Drosophila melanogaster: one gene and its partner. The protein of the gene in region 2 binds, or shares a complex with, the protein of the main gene of each other region. Each region holds a gene or a part of one and is shown on either strand. Other genes may lie near its edges.

Region 1 (8,416 bases), 970 kb from region 2:
TTCTCTTACGGGAAGCGATGTAGCAGAAAAGCCGTTGCCGCCCACTACCACTCCATCCACACCCACCACGGAGCCGGCACCGTGTGTGGAAAGCGAGGAGGCCTACGCAGCTAAGGTGGAGGTCAAGATTAAGATACCCGACGAGTTAAAGCACTATCTGACCGACGACTGGTATGCGGTGGTGCGGGAGCACAAACTGCTGGAGCTGCCCGCCAAGGTTACCGTGCAGCAGATCTCTGAGCAGTATTTGGCGCACAAGAAGTCCGTGAAATCGACCAGTGCCAGCAAGGAGGTTGCCATAAACGATGTACTCGACGGAATTGTAGAGTACTTCAATGTAATGCTGGGCTCCCAGTTGCTGTACAAATTCGAACGCACCCAGTACGCGGATGTGATGCAGAAGCATCCGGACACACCGTTGTCCGAGCTTTACGGATCTTTTCACCTGCTGCGTCTGTTTGTCCGCCTTGGCTCAATGCTCAGCTACTCTGCGTTGGATCAGCAGTCCATGCAGAACCTACTCACGCACGTGCAGGATTTCCTTAAATTCCTCGTAAAGAACAGCTCAATATTTTTCAGCATGAGCAACTTTATCAACGTTGATCCCGAGTACGTGCGAAATGCACAGTAAGCAATAATCTTTTCTTGACTTGAAGTAAATATTTCATCAAAACAGTTTGCAATAATTCGGTGGTTGCTCTCAATTTGCTCCCAAATTGTAAATTAAAACACAAGTAAAATGTTTTGTCATAAGGTAATAAATGTCAGCACCTTGTATTAGTTCTTCGGTTTCGCTTTTGTGTCTTCATCATCGCCCTCGGTCTCCGTCTCGCTACTACTACTACTACTGCTGGTGGGATAGAAGTCGCGAAGATCCCTAGGCTTATCCCGCTCCTGCTGTTCCTTCTCCAGGTACTCATTCTGCACCTTAACAATCTCATCGCTGCTCTTGCAGGCTGCATAGGCATTGAGAAGCTTGTCGTTTAGCTCCAGAAAGGCATGACCCCATGAGAACTTGCCCAGAAACCAGCGAGCCTCTTCCGTGAATCCACAGATGTATAGAGTGGCGGCTATGGCCTCCACGCAGCTGAGCTTGCAGGGCTTTCCGTAGTTGATGGGATTGGCGGCCACCAAGAAGGGCAGCAGTCGCGGATGTGGGCTGCGCATCCTTCCAAAGGGCGTCTCGTCCAGCTTGGCCCACGAGCAGTCGATCACGGCCACGCCCGAAGAGGCCACCACATCGCGATCCAGCGGACTTACACACAACTGGCCAACGGGCGAGAGGACAAGGCCAGGAAACTTCTGACCCAGTCGAAGATTTGAAATGAGTCCTAGGCGTGCCAGTTTCCTGCCCGAACACTTCTTTGGATCGCAGTGGTTGAGGTCCCACATGGCCACCGCAAACTCCGGCGGCTGGCCGAGATCATTTTGGGCTCCATCTCCCGAGGATTCCGAGTCGGAACTTTCATTTTCGCTGCTACTGCTGCTGGCCAGCTCGTTGGCCTGCTGAGCAAAGCTGCGGGCACAATTGTGATTCGCTTTGACATTGCGGTAGGGTCCTCCTCCACCCTTCTTTCCTTTGCCGCGGTTCCGTCCACTCATTATGTTTTGGTTTAAAACTTTATCAAAGCAAAAAAGAATCAAAGTGTTTTTAACGTCTCGTGGTGGCCAAGCCGACGACCCGTTTTATATATTTTGATTGCAAAGAAGGGTGGCGCAAGAAATGTGACACATTACGATGTCACTTTTCAAAATTTCAATAGTTTAAGTAAATGTATTTTGTTTTCAACTGCAAAACAATATTTATTAAAGTATTTTAAGTATATGTATTGTGTTTAGTAAGATTTAGCTTAAACTGCAATAACCTTAAAGTATATCATATTCAAATATTTTTAGACTTAACGATTAACTTCATCTGCGTTTACGTCACCTTAAAAATGTTAAGCATGAGACTGAGGTTATCGCATGGCTATCGATAGCTGCCGAGCGCAACCCTGTCACGCCAACGATGAATGGAAAAGAATATGGCGACCTGACTCTGGAAAAAAATTATAATTTGTCCGGCAAAAGTAGTGTGCAATTCAAAGAAATGTATGTATTAAAAGTGCAATTGTGCGGCGATTGTCTGAAAAAAGTACATTCAATCAAAGGACACGCAGTAAACAAGCCGCTGAGGTCAAAGTGATTTGTGCGTGCCCCAAAAAAACCATTGTTGTGTGAAGTGGACAGGCGCGCCAAAAGGGCTCAAAAAATGCCACCCACCGAAAGATGCCAAAGTTGGACTTACAAGAAAACATTGCAGAATTGCGGACAATGAACAATTACTGATAAATAATACAAGAAGCCTGGCGACGCGCACATCGCACACATACGCCCGCGAAACTGTCACACGTACACAGGCGTATATCGATATTTGCGAGTTGCATTTCGCGCCGTGGCGGCAGAGCAAAATAAACCGAATAACCCAAAATCAACGGGCGTCTATTTGAAACTAACAGCGGAATATACCATACTTACTAATTGTTATTCTTTCTTGTTTTACCCATTCACCTGCGTCCCATCCCAATACGCTTTTTCCGACTCCTTACCCCTGCGTGAGTACAGTTGCGCCCTGAAGCCAGAGCAAGCGAAACCACGGGGAGGCTAACGATAAGGATACGGAAACGGAGAGCACGGCCACTAGCCAAGCACACAGCAATATGGGTGAAGTCAAGTCCGTGAAAGTGGACAACTGGGGAGTCTTCTTCCTGCAGAAGCTGCAGAACTTCTTTAATAAAACGGATTACTGCGATTTGACGCTGCAGTTTCGGGACAATTCACAGCTAAAGGTACACCGTCTGGTGCTCAGCGCCTGCACCGACTACTTCAATGTACTGGAGCAGACCTGCGAGATCGTCGACGATGCCCTCATCATGCCCAACGAGTTCCAGGCGGACGTGGTGGTGCCCATTGTCAACTTCATGTACACAGGCACCCTGGAGTTTGAGCTTAAAATGTACGGCAAGCTGTTGCGCACCGCCAAGGAAATGAACATGACGGTGCTGTTGAAGCTGCTAGAGGCGCACCGTCGCACCATGGAGAACGTTAATCGCCAGCAAAGGGTGAGTGGTGGCAATTCATCATTTGTGAAAATATTTTGTAACCTTTTATTTTCTTTAGCCGCCTAGTCCAAAGGGAATACGCCGGCGCACAGTTGGACAGCCCAGTTCGGGTCTTCCACAACAGCGCGTCTTGGGTCCTTCGCCGCAATCGCGAAACGTAGCCACACCCATCGCGCAACGAGCCAACACACAGCGCGGGTCAACTGGCAACACAATGAGCCGAACATCAGGTGGCTCAAATCGTTCGCCGTATGGAGATAGTAGCAATGTGAAGCAGGAGCCAACGTCACCATTCGAGCAGCTGCGAAAGGGTTATAACAATAACAAGAGACCAGCACAGACAAGCCTGCTATCGCCGCCATCCAAGAAGCCCAGTTTGGAAGAGGTTAAGGAATTCGCTGAGCAACAACGGATGCGAAAGCAAATCGCCGCTGAGTACGGAGATAACGATCCTGAGTACGATGGAGGAATGCTTTATGATGATGTCCATGCCGGGGACGATGATGACGATGATATGCCACCGCAGCCATCTACATCTAAGCAGCAATCCCCACAGGGTACACAGACCCAACTAGAACATGGATCCACCACCATTATCTTGAAACAGGACTCACCCAGCCAGACCCCAACAATAATTGTCAAGGACTCCTCCAACGCCAAGCTGAATCACACCAAGATCATTGCCGAAGTCTTGCGCCAGTATCCGCACATTGTAAAGGGCCACAAAAACATAAAGCTAAAGATTATGCCCAATACCCCGGCAGCGCCGACCGAAAAATCTGCTCCAGCGACAGTAAAACCCCCGGCGAACCAGTCATCCGCAACTACATCGCCACACAAGAAACTGCACGTTTCTTTCAAAGCCGACAAGAGTACGCCACTAATCACAGCACAACAGAAGGCGGCTAGCTCTCAGCAAAAGTCGGGAACCTCGCAGACAACCGGTAACCAGGGAACCGGGGCGAATCCACCAGCAAATACAGCCGCAGCCCAGAAGAGACGCATTGATAGTAAGACAATGCACGCCTTGATCGCTCAGGGAGCAGAGAATACTACTGGTGAGTACAACATTTGTAGGTAATAGGTTCCCAAAAACAACTACTAATGAATATCTATATTTCAGGGCCCTGGCTGTGCCTGAGATGCGGCGTAAACGGACGACCCATTAGCATTCCGTCGTACCGAGGCTTCCGACGCCATCTGATCAACACGCACAAGGAGACAATTGATCCGGCGCTTTGTGAGCATTGCGGGTGGAGGTCTGTCAACAACCGGGAACTGCATTTCCACATGTATATGGAGCACCAGACCAAGTCGCTGCTGTATACGTTTGCCGAGTGCGCGCTATGCAACCAGTCTTACCGGACCAAGGGTGAGTTGGAGGCGCACATAAACGAGGTGCACACGGACGACAACAAGCAGCAGTGCATCTACTGCAACAAGGTGTTCGAGCAAGAGCTGCAGCTGTACAGACACATGAAGAGCTACCACAAGGAGCAGGCTTTGGAGGATGGCATTATCGATGAAACGGACGAAGAATTCCTCGGCTCGCAAGACGAGGAGGAAGAGGCCGAAGGAGACGAAGAGCAGGAACCAGAGCAGACTGGCAAAGTGCGAATCCTTTCGGACATAAGTCTACCAGCCACCAGTGCCATCACAGTGCAGCAAGCTCAACAGGAGCAACTGCAAGAGGAAGATGTTGAACAGGTGCAGCAGGAAGTCAAATTCGTGGGCGCCGATGGCAATGAGGTGGAGCTTACTGATGAGCAGCGCAAAGAGATTCTCTCACAGCTTAACCAGCAGCAAGCAGGCGCCACTGCCGGCGGTGTGGTAATGGTGCTCAGTGAGCCAGAAGCGGAGCACGTCAAGCAGGAGACCGATGAAAAATCCCTGGCCGGCACCGAAGAGGAATATGATGACAGTCAAATCTATAGCGAACTGGGTGCTGCCGACTCTGTGGAGAGCGCCAAAAAGAACATTGCTGATGAAAGCAAAGAGTCCATTGACAACCTGGAATGGGCCGAAAACCTTATAGCCGAGTCTGAAGAACAGAGCAACAAGGAGGTGAGTTTATTAAACACTTTTATGCAAGTACATCTACAACATGAGTCATACAACTTACAGCCAAAATCGGATAAGCCGCGAGATGACATTAGTGAAAAGCTAAAGGAGCTTACCGGCGACTGGACGGAGGATGAGAACGATGACGATGTCGACGATAAGCCCGCTACCGCAGAGCTTGCATCCGAACTAGCCAACAAGGACCCTGAGCCAACAGTACACGAGGAAGAAGATGATATTGACTTGGCTCTCCAGTCTCTACACAAGGGACCCGAAGAGGCAACTGAAGAAAAGGCAAGTGAGGAGTCTGTCACCAGTGCGGACGATGCAGTTGACGCAGTCCCCAATATAAATAGTCAGCCCGAGAAAATGGATGTGGACTCAGAAGCGGCGGACGAGAAGGCTTCGAAGGCCGAGGTCCAGATCAAGAAAGAGGCTGAGCTTGAAAACGATCAAGAGGAATTTATCAAAGAGGATTCACCAATTCCGCATTCCGATTCCGTGGCGGAATTAAGAGAGGCGGTAACTGCCTCTGAGGGCGAGGATGATGTGCATCTAGAGGCCGATAACATACGCAAAGAGCTGCTAGATGAGTTAATTGCCGAGGCCGAGAAACCTGATCAGGAGAAGGACATTGTTCAATCTGAAGAGAATGCGACGACAGAGGCGTTAGATAGGTCAGTAACGGACGAGGATGACCTGGTGCCACCTACGCAGGTATCTACCGAACAAATGGAGATTGATGAACCAGCAGCGGAAAAAGCAGCCGAAAATAATGAAGATACTAGAACGGCAGACGAGAAGGAAGCCGTCGAGGACAAACCAAACCAGACACAGGATGTAACCACTGCAGAAAAGCCGACACTAGAAAGTGCAAAAGCAGGTGATGAAGCAACGTCAGGTGAAGCAGCCAGCGTGGACAAGGTCAAGAGCCTCATTAGCGAATGGGGTGACGACGATGAGGACGAGGATGAGAATGGGGTTAGTGCGGCGGCGAAGGAGGAGCTATAATTACTAGATTTATTTATGTTCTAAGTTTGGCGATTCAACGCAGGTCAGCAGATAAACGCACCTGAGCTCGGCGCGAATTTTCGGTTTCTATTGTAAATTAAATTGTTAATGAAGATCAAGGTGAATGATAAGATATGCATATGCACTGGTTTAAGTGTATAAGATCTAATCTACTCATCTCACGTAATTGTAAATCCCCTCCCATCCCAAGTATGTTGCCCTGCTAGCATGAAAATCGTAAATCTAAGAGGAGTTCCCCAAATGACCTTAAATGAGAGATCAGAGACCAAACAACCCAACATTTAGCTATTTATGAGTGTCCGTTTCTTCACACATACACCACCAATAGAGCAACCAAGCAACATTTCACGATTAGGTAAACACTATATATATATATACACATATGCCTATTTACATACATATAGAGATGTAGTTACATAGATGTTGTTTTAATTCGTTTAAAACAGTGACATGATGTCCCCAGAAAGTAATAAAATGATTGCGTTTAATGGTTGGCTAAGTAAGATTAATCAAAAGGAAAAGAGGATGCCCTTTTTTTGATTAACAACTTAATTGTAAGGTTTATTACATATAATAAAAGCATAAAAAATAACACAAACTTTGGAGAAAGAGAAAATATAAATGTAGACGAGAAGACTGAACTTTTTACTTATCCTACGGCAGATCGACAATGTACCTAAAACAAGATTAGTTGGAAATGCACAAGTAACAAGTCTTACACAAGAGATTAACAGCTGCCAATCCATAATATTATCCTAAGTGTTCTAAGTTTAAAAAGCGGCACATTTTCTCACAGCGCTGAAACGATTTCTCAACGAAAAGATGTCTAATCCTCATCTGAAAAGGCGCGAAGAAAATAGGTCAGCAATGTCGAAAGGGAAATGCAAATCACATAATGCTACGCACCAGAAAGATAAAAGTTTATGATGCACATGGTCGCAAAGCCGGCGAGCACAGTTGCAAACTGTGCAAATCCCGCCCAGCGTCGCGTTGAGTTCGAGTGCCAGCGCGCCTTCTCGCGCGGTATCACCTCGCAGACGGTGACGTAGAAGAGTGTGCCTCCGGCCAGAGCTTGGACGATAGGCAGAGTTTTGCTGGACCAAGCGGCGGGCACGTCCACGATAAGCATGCCCAGGCCAATGCCAATGACGGCGCCCAGGGCAAACACCGAAATGCCGACGAACTGGGCGCGAAAACTCGTCTGCGGATTCGAGCGGAACTCGAGCCCCAGACAAAAGCCCATCACGAACTTGTGGCAGGCGACGGCCCCTAGAAGAAACAGAACCTACGACGAGACAAAGCAGATTCCGGTTATCTAATTGGACTAAGCCCTCGCATCTCTTTGCTTCAATATTTGCCTAAGATTGCGCACTATAGCCGATCTAGTCTAACTATGTCAAGGCAGGCGGCACAGACCTTTGTGGAAGAGTTCTGAACGCCGATGGCGAGTCCTTCGATGGCCGAGTGCAGTGACAGGGCGACAAAGAGACCCAGAGTGCCTGTCATGGATTGGGCGCAGGGTTCCGTGTGGCTGGTGTGGCAGATGCGGGCGTTGGCGTCCTCTACACTGGCATCATTACAGCCAGATGCGCTGGCCGGGTGATTGTGGTCATGATCGCTGCGTAATCGAAGCACAAAGCAATTAGTTTTGGCTGCGGGAAGGGAAATGCAATAAACCTACTGGCTATGATGGTGCGAATGCCCATGTGACGTATTGGGTTCCGCTGATAAAAGGGGCGCTCGTTCGTCCACTGCGCCATAACCATTGTCATTAGTGGGACGTCTTGGTGGCTCGGTTGCTGGAGTCTCTGCATCGTGGGCATGAGTGTGCTGAATGGCCTCGCCAAAGAAGTAGTGTATGAACTCGTCGATAAAGTAGATGATGAAGAACCCGCCGCACATGGCAACCTCAGCGAATTTCGAGTCCATTTGTTCGCGCACCTGTTGCATGCGTAAGTCAGCAGGTTATCAAATTGCAGCCACACACACGATCGCAGTCCAAGCTCTTACCTCGGGCAGAATGTGCACCAGTGCGGTGGCTAGCAGAATGCCCGCTCCGAAGCACAGGAGCAGGGATGCGGTCAGCGGGAAGCGGCGACGATTCCGTTCCGATATAAAGGCGGGCAGCAATCCGAACAAAAGACTCCCGAGTCCGAGGACCAGCATAGCCAGCACTTTTTCCAAGTCGCCGCGACTCGTGGCAGCCAGGGTGGGGCTTGGGG
Region 2 (8,886 bases):
TAATGGATGTCTTTAGTAACGTAAGTGGTTGGAAATCCCTCACCCCTATAAAAAGATTGAAAGTTGAGCCTCATTTGTGGACAGTTTATCAAGCAAAGTGGCACATTTGATGGATTATACACGCCGGAAGAGCAGATGTTCGAGAACATAACCAGTCGGGAGGATAAGATTCGATTTCTGCAGAAGATGATCGATGCAACCAGTGAGTTTGGCTTACAATGCTGGTGCTCTGAATTAGCTACAAGGTGTTTGCTTTCGCAGAACTAACAACCAAACTGGATCTCAAAGTACGCACTTCAAAAATAGTTGCTGGCCAGGAACCGGAGCTCACCAATGAGCTCCTCCAGGCGATGGCCAGTGTTGCGGAAAAGAACTTGGAGTGGGACAGCATTGTGGATCAGGTGGTGATTTCCCACAGCAAAACACCACTGACGCTTACCAAGCCACCGAAGGAAACTAAAAATTCAAGCAAAAATCCCTCACCCGCCGGCAAGGATGAGGATGCAAAGCGACGCAAGGAGAAACGTATATCGCCTCAAGAGCAGAAGCTGCGCAAGGTCAAAGAACAGGTGTCCCGTTCTACTCCCCCCACCGAGAAGGATAAAGCATCCCAGAAGAAGTCCAAGGCACCCAAGGATGAGACGAAGTTAAGTCGACAAAACTCGAAGCAAAAGAGTCCGTCACCAGTTAAGCAGAAGTCCAAAGCCAAACTGCAGCCTTCAACAGAGAGCGATAATCTTAGCCAGTCTATGTCGCCAGTGGAAGAAGGATCAACCAAGCCTGCTGCAAGCGAAAGTGCTCCAAGCAAACCAGAGCCGGAAATGGTAAGAAAAATAAGTTAATTTGCTTTAAAATTAGAAATCCATAAGTTATGCGTATACCCAAACAGGTTCCTCCATTAAAAGAGAAGGAGGCAGTGGTGAGACCTGTCCAGGAAACTCCAACTGCTCCACCAGCTGAGCCTGAGAGTCGCAAATCCTCTAGCAGAAGTCGCCGTTCTAGTGGCAGCCACAGGCAACCGGAACCTAATCCCATTCCCAATGAGAGCCAATCCCAGCCAGCGGTGCAGTCGTCAGAAACCAGCTCTCCACCGGAGACCAACAGCGGCGAAGCGAAGCGGGAGGTTCCCCTCACCAGAGAGAACTCTAAGGAAGTGAATCAACGGCCCAGAACCTCACTTAGACCTCCATCCGCTCGACCCGCCTCCGCACGTCCCGGAGCTCCACGACGTCGCAATGTGGAGATCGTGCTCCAGCCAAACGATCAGATCAAAATGTCGGGCATAAATGTAAAGCTTGAAACCTTTGGCGACTTGGACGACGACGGAGAGAACCTGGTGATCATAGAAGATTCCGCCGCCCATGATATTGTCGAAGGTGGCGGTGACGAACCGGCATTGGAAGGACAGCTCGATGCCCAGGGACGATTGGTGCAGCAGATCTTGGAAACGCAAAAGGAACTGGTCAATCAAGGCGCCGAAGTGGAACCGCCTCCAGCACAGGCAGGCCGACAAACTTCTGCGCGCCAGGTGAACGACGTACGCGACGTAGTCCAAAAGCTCACCAAGTCGATAGGTCCGCTGGGTAAACTACTGGACTGCATACCCGAGGATTTTGATGCAATGCAGCTGGAGCTTACGATGTGGCGCGACACCTACACGCAGGCATCCACGGAACTAAAAAGGGAGCAGACTCTCACGGCATCTGCCACGGAGCCCCTGCAGCATCAGTTGCAGCAAATCCAAGCCAGCATTGCGGAGTACCGGGAGCTAATCGACGAGAGTCGCCACAAGATCTTGCAAAACAACGCACGTATTCTGAAGTTGATGATGGAACAGTAAGCATTGAGGATTAATAAGCATTGTTAAAAATTCAAGAGAGTTTTATCGAAAATATTGAATTTGTATATTTTATAATTAATAAGAGTACTATAAAAATAGCCATGCATATATTGCTTGGTAACATCATTCAATTCAAAAATATATAAAATCTATATAATAATATCAAAATATCTTTGATATGTAATATGTTGGTTTGTTTGTTTTTGGGTAATTTGTCAATGCGCAAGATGTCTGAATATTCAAGCAACAGACGGTAAGTTTCTCTTTTAAGGTCACTTGGTGTTTGTACCAAAACCAACGATCTTAAAAATACAAATGTTGTAAAAATCATCAACGATCAATTCCTAGAATATGGTTTTTGTGCGGTAATTGTACGCATGCATCAAGGGCTGGAAAATCAAGCTTTCTCTTGTTCGCCTACAGGTTTTTTCTTATTTTCCCGGACCACCTCCTCTGAGTTATCCTTATCCACAGCTTTCCCCACGATCTCCTTCTTTTCAGATTTCGCCGAAACTTCCTTCTTTTCCGGTTTCTCTCTGATTTCATTTGTTTTAGTTTCGCCTGTGACCGACACCGCTTCTTCATCACCTGAATGTGACTCATTGTCTTTGTCCAATCCACCTTCGTCCTGATCCTCATCTCCCAGTACATATTCGATCACATCGTCGATGGGGAAATTATTGAGCAGCGACTTGATGGAATCGTTGTGAATGACCACGGTAAAGAGCAGTTTGCAGTACTCTCGCATGCGGCTACCGTAGTCAAGCTCAGCGTAGTTTTCGCCACCTTTGGTTAGGTCGTGGCCACAGTTCTCGATCACTTTGCAGAGCACCGTCTCCTCGGGGGCATTGGGCCAGCCGTATTTCTTTAGGATCGGTGGATCCACTAGCATATCAATAAGTTTACCCACATTCTCTTTGAGCTTTATGTCCTCCTCAGTTAGAATTTCGCCACTGAAGTCATCCTCGCTACATGATTCTTCCAAATTATCTGCGATGGCAGCGGCCAGACTGGCGGCCAGGGATTTACGCTGCTCTTTCTTTACCACCGGCGAGACCTGCGCCTCCTCCTTCTTCGCCTCGGGCTTAACGCCAGCCTCATCCGTCAGCTGCTCTCCCTCGATGGCCCCGTCCAGGGGCAGAATTGTGTATGTTTCGTTTTCTAGTGTAATGGTCTGGGCCGCGCCATCGCCTTCGTCCACGAGGAATTCACGCACCACAACGCCATTCCCGTCCGTTTGGCTAGAAATTAACGAGCCCGCCGATGTGTTTAACGCCACTGGTACAACCTCCTCCGATTCGATGTCCTTCTTTGCCCGCTTTGATGGATGCGGCTCAACGCCAAAAATGTCATCCGGATCGCATTCGTGAACGGTGCGTATGTGCCGTCGCAGGGTATCGCTGCTGTCAAAGTTCTTATCGCAAATGGCGCAATCCGTGCGTTCCATAATTTTGACGGCCGATCGCATTGATGACCGTTGTTGTTTCGCTACAAAGGGTAGGAGCGGGATTAAAGCCTTGATTATTGCCAATTGTCGATTCCAACTTACGGCTGTGTTTTCCCTCGTCCATATGCTCCTTGAGCAATGCTGGAGTGCGGAAATTACGCTTGCACTCGGCGCAGGAAAAGACGGGGCGTTTTGTGCGAGAATGGGTCTTCACATGGCGCTCAAGTCTGCGAAACAAAATTGCAATAAGTAAGTAGGGCTAACAGAAAAGATAAAAGGTTTTTTAATATCTTACTGTTTCTCTGTTTTGAATTTTTCGTCGCATTGCTCACAGGGAAAGGGGCGAATATGGGTTTTGGAATGGGTGCGCAGCTGGGTGGCCTGGATAAAACTCTTGCCACATTCATCACACTTGTGCGGACGCTCTCCAGTGTGCCGTTTCATGTGACGATTGAGCACTTCCTTTACGGCAAATGCTTGGTTGCACTAAAAGGTAATAGAATACCGCATTGTTACAATAGGTTAAATGAAAAGTTACGGAAGTTTTAAGACTAACCACAGTGCAACTGTATGGTTTCTCGCCAGTGTGATAGCGTCGATGCTTTTTAAGGGCCACCAATGCAGAAAACTTCTTGTCGCAAAGATCGCAGTCAAATGGTTTCTCCCCCGTATGAGTGCGTATGTGAATGCTGCGAAAATATACCGAACATTACTTTATGTCTTTTAAAATCAATTAGAAAACCTACTTCAGCGTGGACAGGCTGTAGAAACAATTCTTGCACGTGTGGCACATGTACTCCGGCTTTTTAACCACCTGTGTACCCAAATGCTGCTTCAAATGCGATCGCAGGTTGTCCAGCCGATAGAAGACACGATCGCACACCTTGCAGCTCATGGTATCGGTCTCGTTCGATGAGCACGATGAGTACTTCTGGTGGCGCTTCAAGTGGTACGAGCGGGTGAAGTCCTTGCCGCAGATCTTGCATGCATACGGCTTGCCACGTGACTTGTGCTGTTCCTCGTGGAGCGCCAACAAGGCCTCGCTGCGCAAGTTGGCATTGCAAATGGAGCAAGGAAAATCGCTGAACTCGGAGTGAGTGATGAAAATGTGGCGTTCGTAACTGGTCTGTGTCTTAAACGACTTGGGGCAGTCGGGACAGTTAATGTGACCCAGCTGAAAGGAAAATGTGGTATGCGAAAGTTATGCTTACTTCTCTTGGTATCAATCTTTATGACTTACATGGAAGGTGTCGTAACTTTCGCTGCAGCAGAAGCATATGTCCTTCTTCTCCATCACCACGGCATCCTTCTCGATCTTCTCCAGGTTCTTAAGCATGTCGGCTTTGCGCAAATGATACCCACTGTCATAGCGACAGAACTCTAGATGCTTTTTCAGACTCTGAACGCGACGGAAGGTCTTGTAGCATTTGCCACACACATGCTCCACGATCTCCTTGATCTTTGTCTGGCTAGAGTTGCCCTTGCCTGAGGAGTCTTCACCGTCCTCATCACCATCCTCCCCTAGATCCTCATCGTCCTCGGTGACAACGATCTCCTGGCCGTTGTTATTTTCTATTCTGCCCGGAACTACTTCCTCATCATCCGCTAGAATGAAATCAATGGTGTCATCTTCTTCGGTGACCACGGTAACCGTGGTGTCCGCCTTGGTATTTTCTGATTTCACAGCCTGAAGTACATAGTGCTCCATTTTCTTTCTTTTACTGGGAGACGTCTTGATCTTGGTAGTTTCCACGGCTGTCACGGTAGCACTGGGTGTCTTTTTCTCGTTCAGAATCTTCACAGTGGAAGCAGCCGGAGCTGTGCTCTTTGTGGCGCCCCGTTTCTCAGTTTTCGGAGTGCCCAGTATTTCTTCATTGAGTATTTTGATGCGCGATCCAGCGACACTGCCACGCTTCTCCTGCTTGTTGGAGGGAGTTCTTGATGTGGTAGTAGTAGTGCTTGCCTCCGAATCCTCACCAGCTCCCACGTCATTCAAGAGCTTCATCCTGGTGGCGGGACGTTTGTCCTTAGGCGGCGAAATGTTTTCCACACCCAGCAGCTTGCCCTTCTTTTCCTTGCCCTCCTTGGAGGCACTCATGTTGGTGATACCAGCCTGCAATTAAGATCGATTGGATGATAATTCAGGATCAGGATAACCAGTGACCGCTTTAGTCTACTTTTAGGCACGTGATTTACTGAACATCACATTTTGCCAGCGTCACCAACACACGCCCAAAAGCTGCTAAGAAAAAATGGCGTCGCGCTGTTCGATCTTTACGATCGATCGGCCTTGGTGTGAGCGAGACAACACTACCTGCGCCTGACGCACAGAAAACGCAACAAGTTTTCTTCTGAAATAAAATTGTATTTCAAAGGGGTAGCAAATAATTCTAATACACTCGCAAATCCGTAGCATACTTTTCAAATATTTAATGTGATTTTGTGCCGGCGAAGGACGTGGAGGATCGGTTTTAACCACTTATTTTGCTGATTAGAAGTGCACTTTTCTGCTCCGCAGCGAAAGAAAGTGACTGCCATCGCCGATAAAGAGCGTGAAATTATCAAGTCACTGGCTAAGGTATTTGCTTCACAAACATGTCCTCATATCACGGGATGCGTTCCTTAAAGGGTTTTGACCGCATTTCCGATAATAAATCACAATTTACCTAATTTTATGCTTTAAATTCCAACACGACAAGCGTTTGTGTATGAAAATTCAGTGTGACCGTTGCATGTAGGTTGGAAAATACCATTAATTACAACAACCCGTGAAAAAATAATCTGAACATGCCGCCATGAAAAGTACAAAGAAATTTCCTCTGTTTTGAATCTTCTGGGTTGTAAATTTGTAATAATTCCAACATAAATTTAAAATAAATAGCCGGTGTCTGGCTTAATATTATATTAACTTTTTATTGGTTAACTTTGTAAGCATAGATTAATGATCCGAACAATAAAGCTTATATGGAACATTTCACTATTTATATATAATTTCAGTCGAAGGCCACCGCAGCCGTTGCTCGGTAAGATAATTATCAGGTTTAACATTTTATACAAAAAGTAATTGAATAAAATACAAATAAATGCATTCTTTAATATGCATTTTGATAAAATAAAAAACAAAATATATAAGCATATAATTAAAATAGCAGTGCTCACAAGGGTTAAAGGCTAGTATGTTAATGAGGTATACCTATCCCATGATCTCGGTATATTTAAGCCGCCTTGCCACGGTCACACTTTCGCCAATTGCAACGATAAAAAGGTAAATAAAAGCCGCATTAACTCACAAATTGCAATTAACTAGCAATAATTGTAAGCCAATAGCCATGACGACTGCCTTTGATGCCGCACACACTGAGGGGCCGGGATTCGTGGGCATTCGGTTCTGCCAGGAGTGCAACAACATGCTGTACCCCAAGGAGGACAAGGAGAACAAGATCCTGCTGTACGCCTGCCGGAATTGCGATTACAAACAGGAGGCGGACTCCAACTGCATCTACGTGAACAAGATTATGCACGAGATCGACGAGCTGACCCACATTGTGCCCGACGTGATTTCCGATCCCACGCTGCCGCGCACCGAAGACCACGCTTGTCCCAAGTGCTCCCATCGGGAGGCGGTCTTCTTCCAGGCGCAAACTCGTCGCGCCGAAGAGGAGATGCGACTGTACTACGTGTGCACCAACCAGAACTGCACCCACCGTTGGACGGAGTAGAAACTGACGACCCATCTGCCTCTAATTGTAGCCCTAAGTAATCGAAGGCACTTTGCAATCGTACAATTGGAATTCCCCCATGGCTATGCCGCAAAAACATCCCACGTGCAGCTCCATTCTCGGTTGTCGCCTAATGTAATAACATTCGCACTGAAAAAAAATGCATGTGATCCGCATGACTTTGAATCACTTGCAAGAACTTCGATTTGGTTTGTATAAATGTTTAAATAGCTCAGTCTTAAAAATAAATATATAAGTTCATTGCGAGAAAACTGCTGTATCATCTTACTATATGTTTTGGCAAAACTACTTAATTTCAATGATCAAATGTTCAAGTGCAGTTGAGAAAACAACGAAAGTGTTCCGGGTTTATGATAAAATTTAGCAGGTTAAGCTGCATATTTAGGCAACATAAACTGCAAAACCAGATTTCATAGTTATAAACTTAATCAAGTCAGCCCGCTTGTATTCAAATGTCTTCATTATTTATTTATAAATGAATGTGTACTATGACTGACAATCTATGAATGTAAAACTGAGCGAGCAACGAATCTCCCCGAGGCATGTGCGAATTCCACAGTTCACGGCCCGGTGACAATTCTTCATATTTATCATTGTTCTGCTCTAATCGAAGCTGACAACAAACAAAATAAATAAAAAAAATAAGAACCGAAAGCGACGAAGAAATGATTGAACAAGTTTCTTGTGCGTATCAAACGACTGCCCATTTGAGTATTTGAGTAGTAGACCTGGCTTGGCTTGGCCCGATCCCCGGAATCGTCGCTTAGTTTAGTCTGAGCTTAGAACCTGGCGCGACGTGTTGATCAAATCGCTTAAAATGTGCTGCTAGAGCAACCTGCCGAGCCAGAGACGTATCGAATCGAATAGAATCGTATAAAAAATAAGAGTTTTGAGGAATTCAGCAAGTGCTATAAAAAAATGGCAAAGCCAAGGTCATCGGCAGATGCGGCTGGAAATGGCAGTGGAGCAGTGGATGCAGAGCCCAAGCTCAACTATTTCCAGAAACTGTGGCGCTATCGCCACTATCTGGTCATCGAGCCCTTCTTCTTTTTCTACTTCATGGCCTCCGTGTTCAATGCGGTGGCCATGCAGAATTTCCCACTGGACAAGGCGTGTCGCGTGAATCTCGGCTACAACAAGATCGTCTGCGACACAATGCTGGACAAATCGGAGCTGGGCATCGAGTGCGATGACTTTGATTTCGAGAACACCACACAGGGCGCGACGCCGGATCTCGCTGACCTTGTCATCGGAGCCACTGGCTTCAACTACACGGTGTGCAAGGCGGAACTGGAGGCACAGATCCTGGCGGCAGATGTCTCCGGGAAACGAGCTCCCATGGGTAAGCCAGGCGACAAACATACACATATATCATACACATAACACGAGTCGTTCATTAAGTATACGCCGTTTTGATTTCGGTTATGGGTTTGGCATTAGCATTGCTTATATTTCAGGTTTGTGCTTAAATTAAATTCGAATTCTTTTCACATCTCGACTCCTCTGCATTTTAAATTTCCCCTGCCCCTCGAATGGGTTAGGTACACTCGAAAAATAATAGTATTATCAAGTGATAATGGGACTAGAAAGACATTGAGATACTTTACTCAAGCATAAGATTGTAAATATCTTAGAGAACTTTCTTTAAATTGAAATGGAATAGCTATATATACACATTTTCTTTGAGTGCACATTTTTTTCTGAAGGAATCCGTGTCTTTTGATGGATGTCGTCGGAAATTAGCGGTTATCCGAACATCTAATTACCTTCTTTAATCGATTCGCTCATAAGTTTCTCCTTCGCCTTCTGTCTTCTGATGGTGCTAACAAAAATTCCCCCATTCTATCGCTATTGCCGGG

Evidence for each region. The genes of interacting proteins can lie anywhere in the genome.
Region 1: su(Hw) (region 2) and Cp190 share a complex: the UniProt entries of both Drosophila melanogaster proteins name them as parts of the gypsy chromatin insulator complex.

The regions. Positions count from the first base shown.
Region 1 is NT_033777.3:15,268,800-15,277,215, reverse strand, and holds Cp190 (centrosomal protein 190kD), read left to right. Parts: upstream 1-1,974; 5' UTR 1,975-2,091; intron 2,092-2,425; exon of another isoform or gene 2,426-2,604; 5' UTR 2,605-2,699; coding exon 2,700-3,101; intron 3,102-3,159; coding exon 3,160-4,159; intron 4,160-4,224; coding exon 4,225-5,165; intron 5,166-5,225; coding exon 5,226-6,173; 3' UTR 6,174-6,784; downstream 6,785-8,416. Other genes in the region: MRG15 (MORF-related gene 15), read left to right, coding at 1-631; CG4338 (uncharacterized protein), read right to left, coding at 778-1,602; Zip88E (Zinc/iron regulated transporter-related protein 88E), read right to left, coding at 7,021-7,031, 7,101-7,479, 7,611-7,812, 7,876-8,135, 8,205-8,416. UniProt on the Drosophila melanogaster protein: Plays a central role in chromatin domain organization and boundary function through recruitment by a range of insulator DNA-binding proteins, including ZIPIC, pita, CTCF, su(Hw), cliff and others.
Region 2 is NT_033777.3:14,302,571-14,311,456, forward strand, and holds su(Hw) (suppressor of hairy wing), read right to left. Parts: upstream 6,020-8,886; 5' UTR 5,706-6,019; intron 5,639-5,705; exon of another isoform or gene 5,465-5,638; intron 5,401-5,464; 5' UTR 5,386-5,400; coding exon 4,528-5,385; intron 4,462-4,527; coding exon 4,034-4,461; intron 3,977-4,033; coding exon 3,844-3,976; intron 3,774-3,843; coding exon 3,583-3,773; intron 3,515-3,582; coding exon 3,390-3,514; intron 3,329-3,389; coding exon 2,238-3,328; 3' UTR 1,885-2,237; downstream 1-1,884. Other genes in the region: IFT54 (intraflagellar transport 54), read left to right, coding at 1-20, 85-202, 262-824, 890-1,840; Polr2I (RNA polymerase II subunit I), read left to right, coding at 6,617-7,006; CG31321 (uncharacterized protein), read left to right, coding at 7,946-8,369. UniProt on the Drosophila melanogaster protein: Component of the gypsy chromatin insulator complex which is required for the function of the gypsy chromatin insulator and other endogenous chromatin insulators.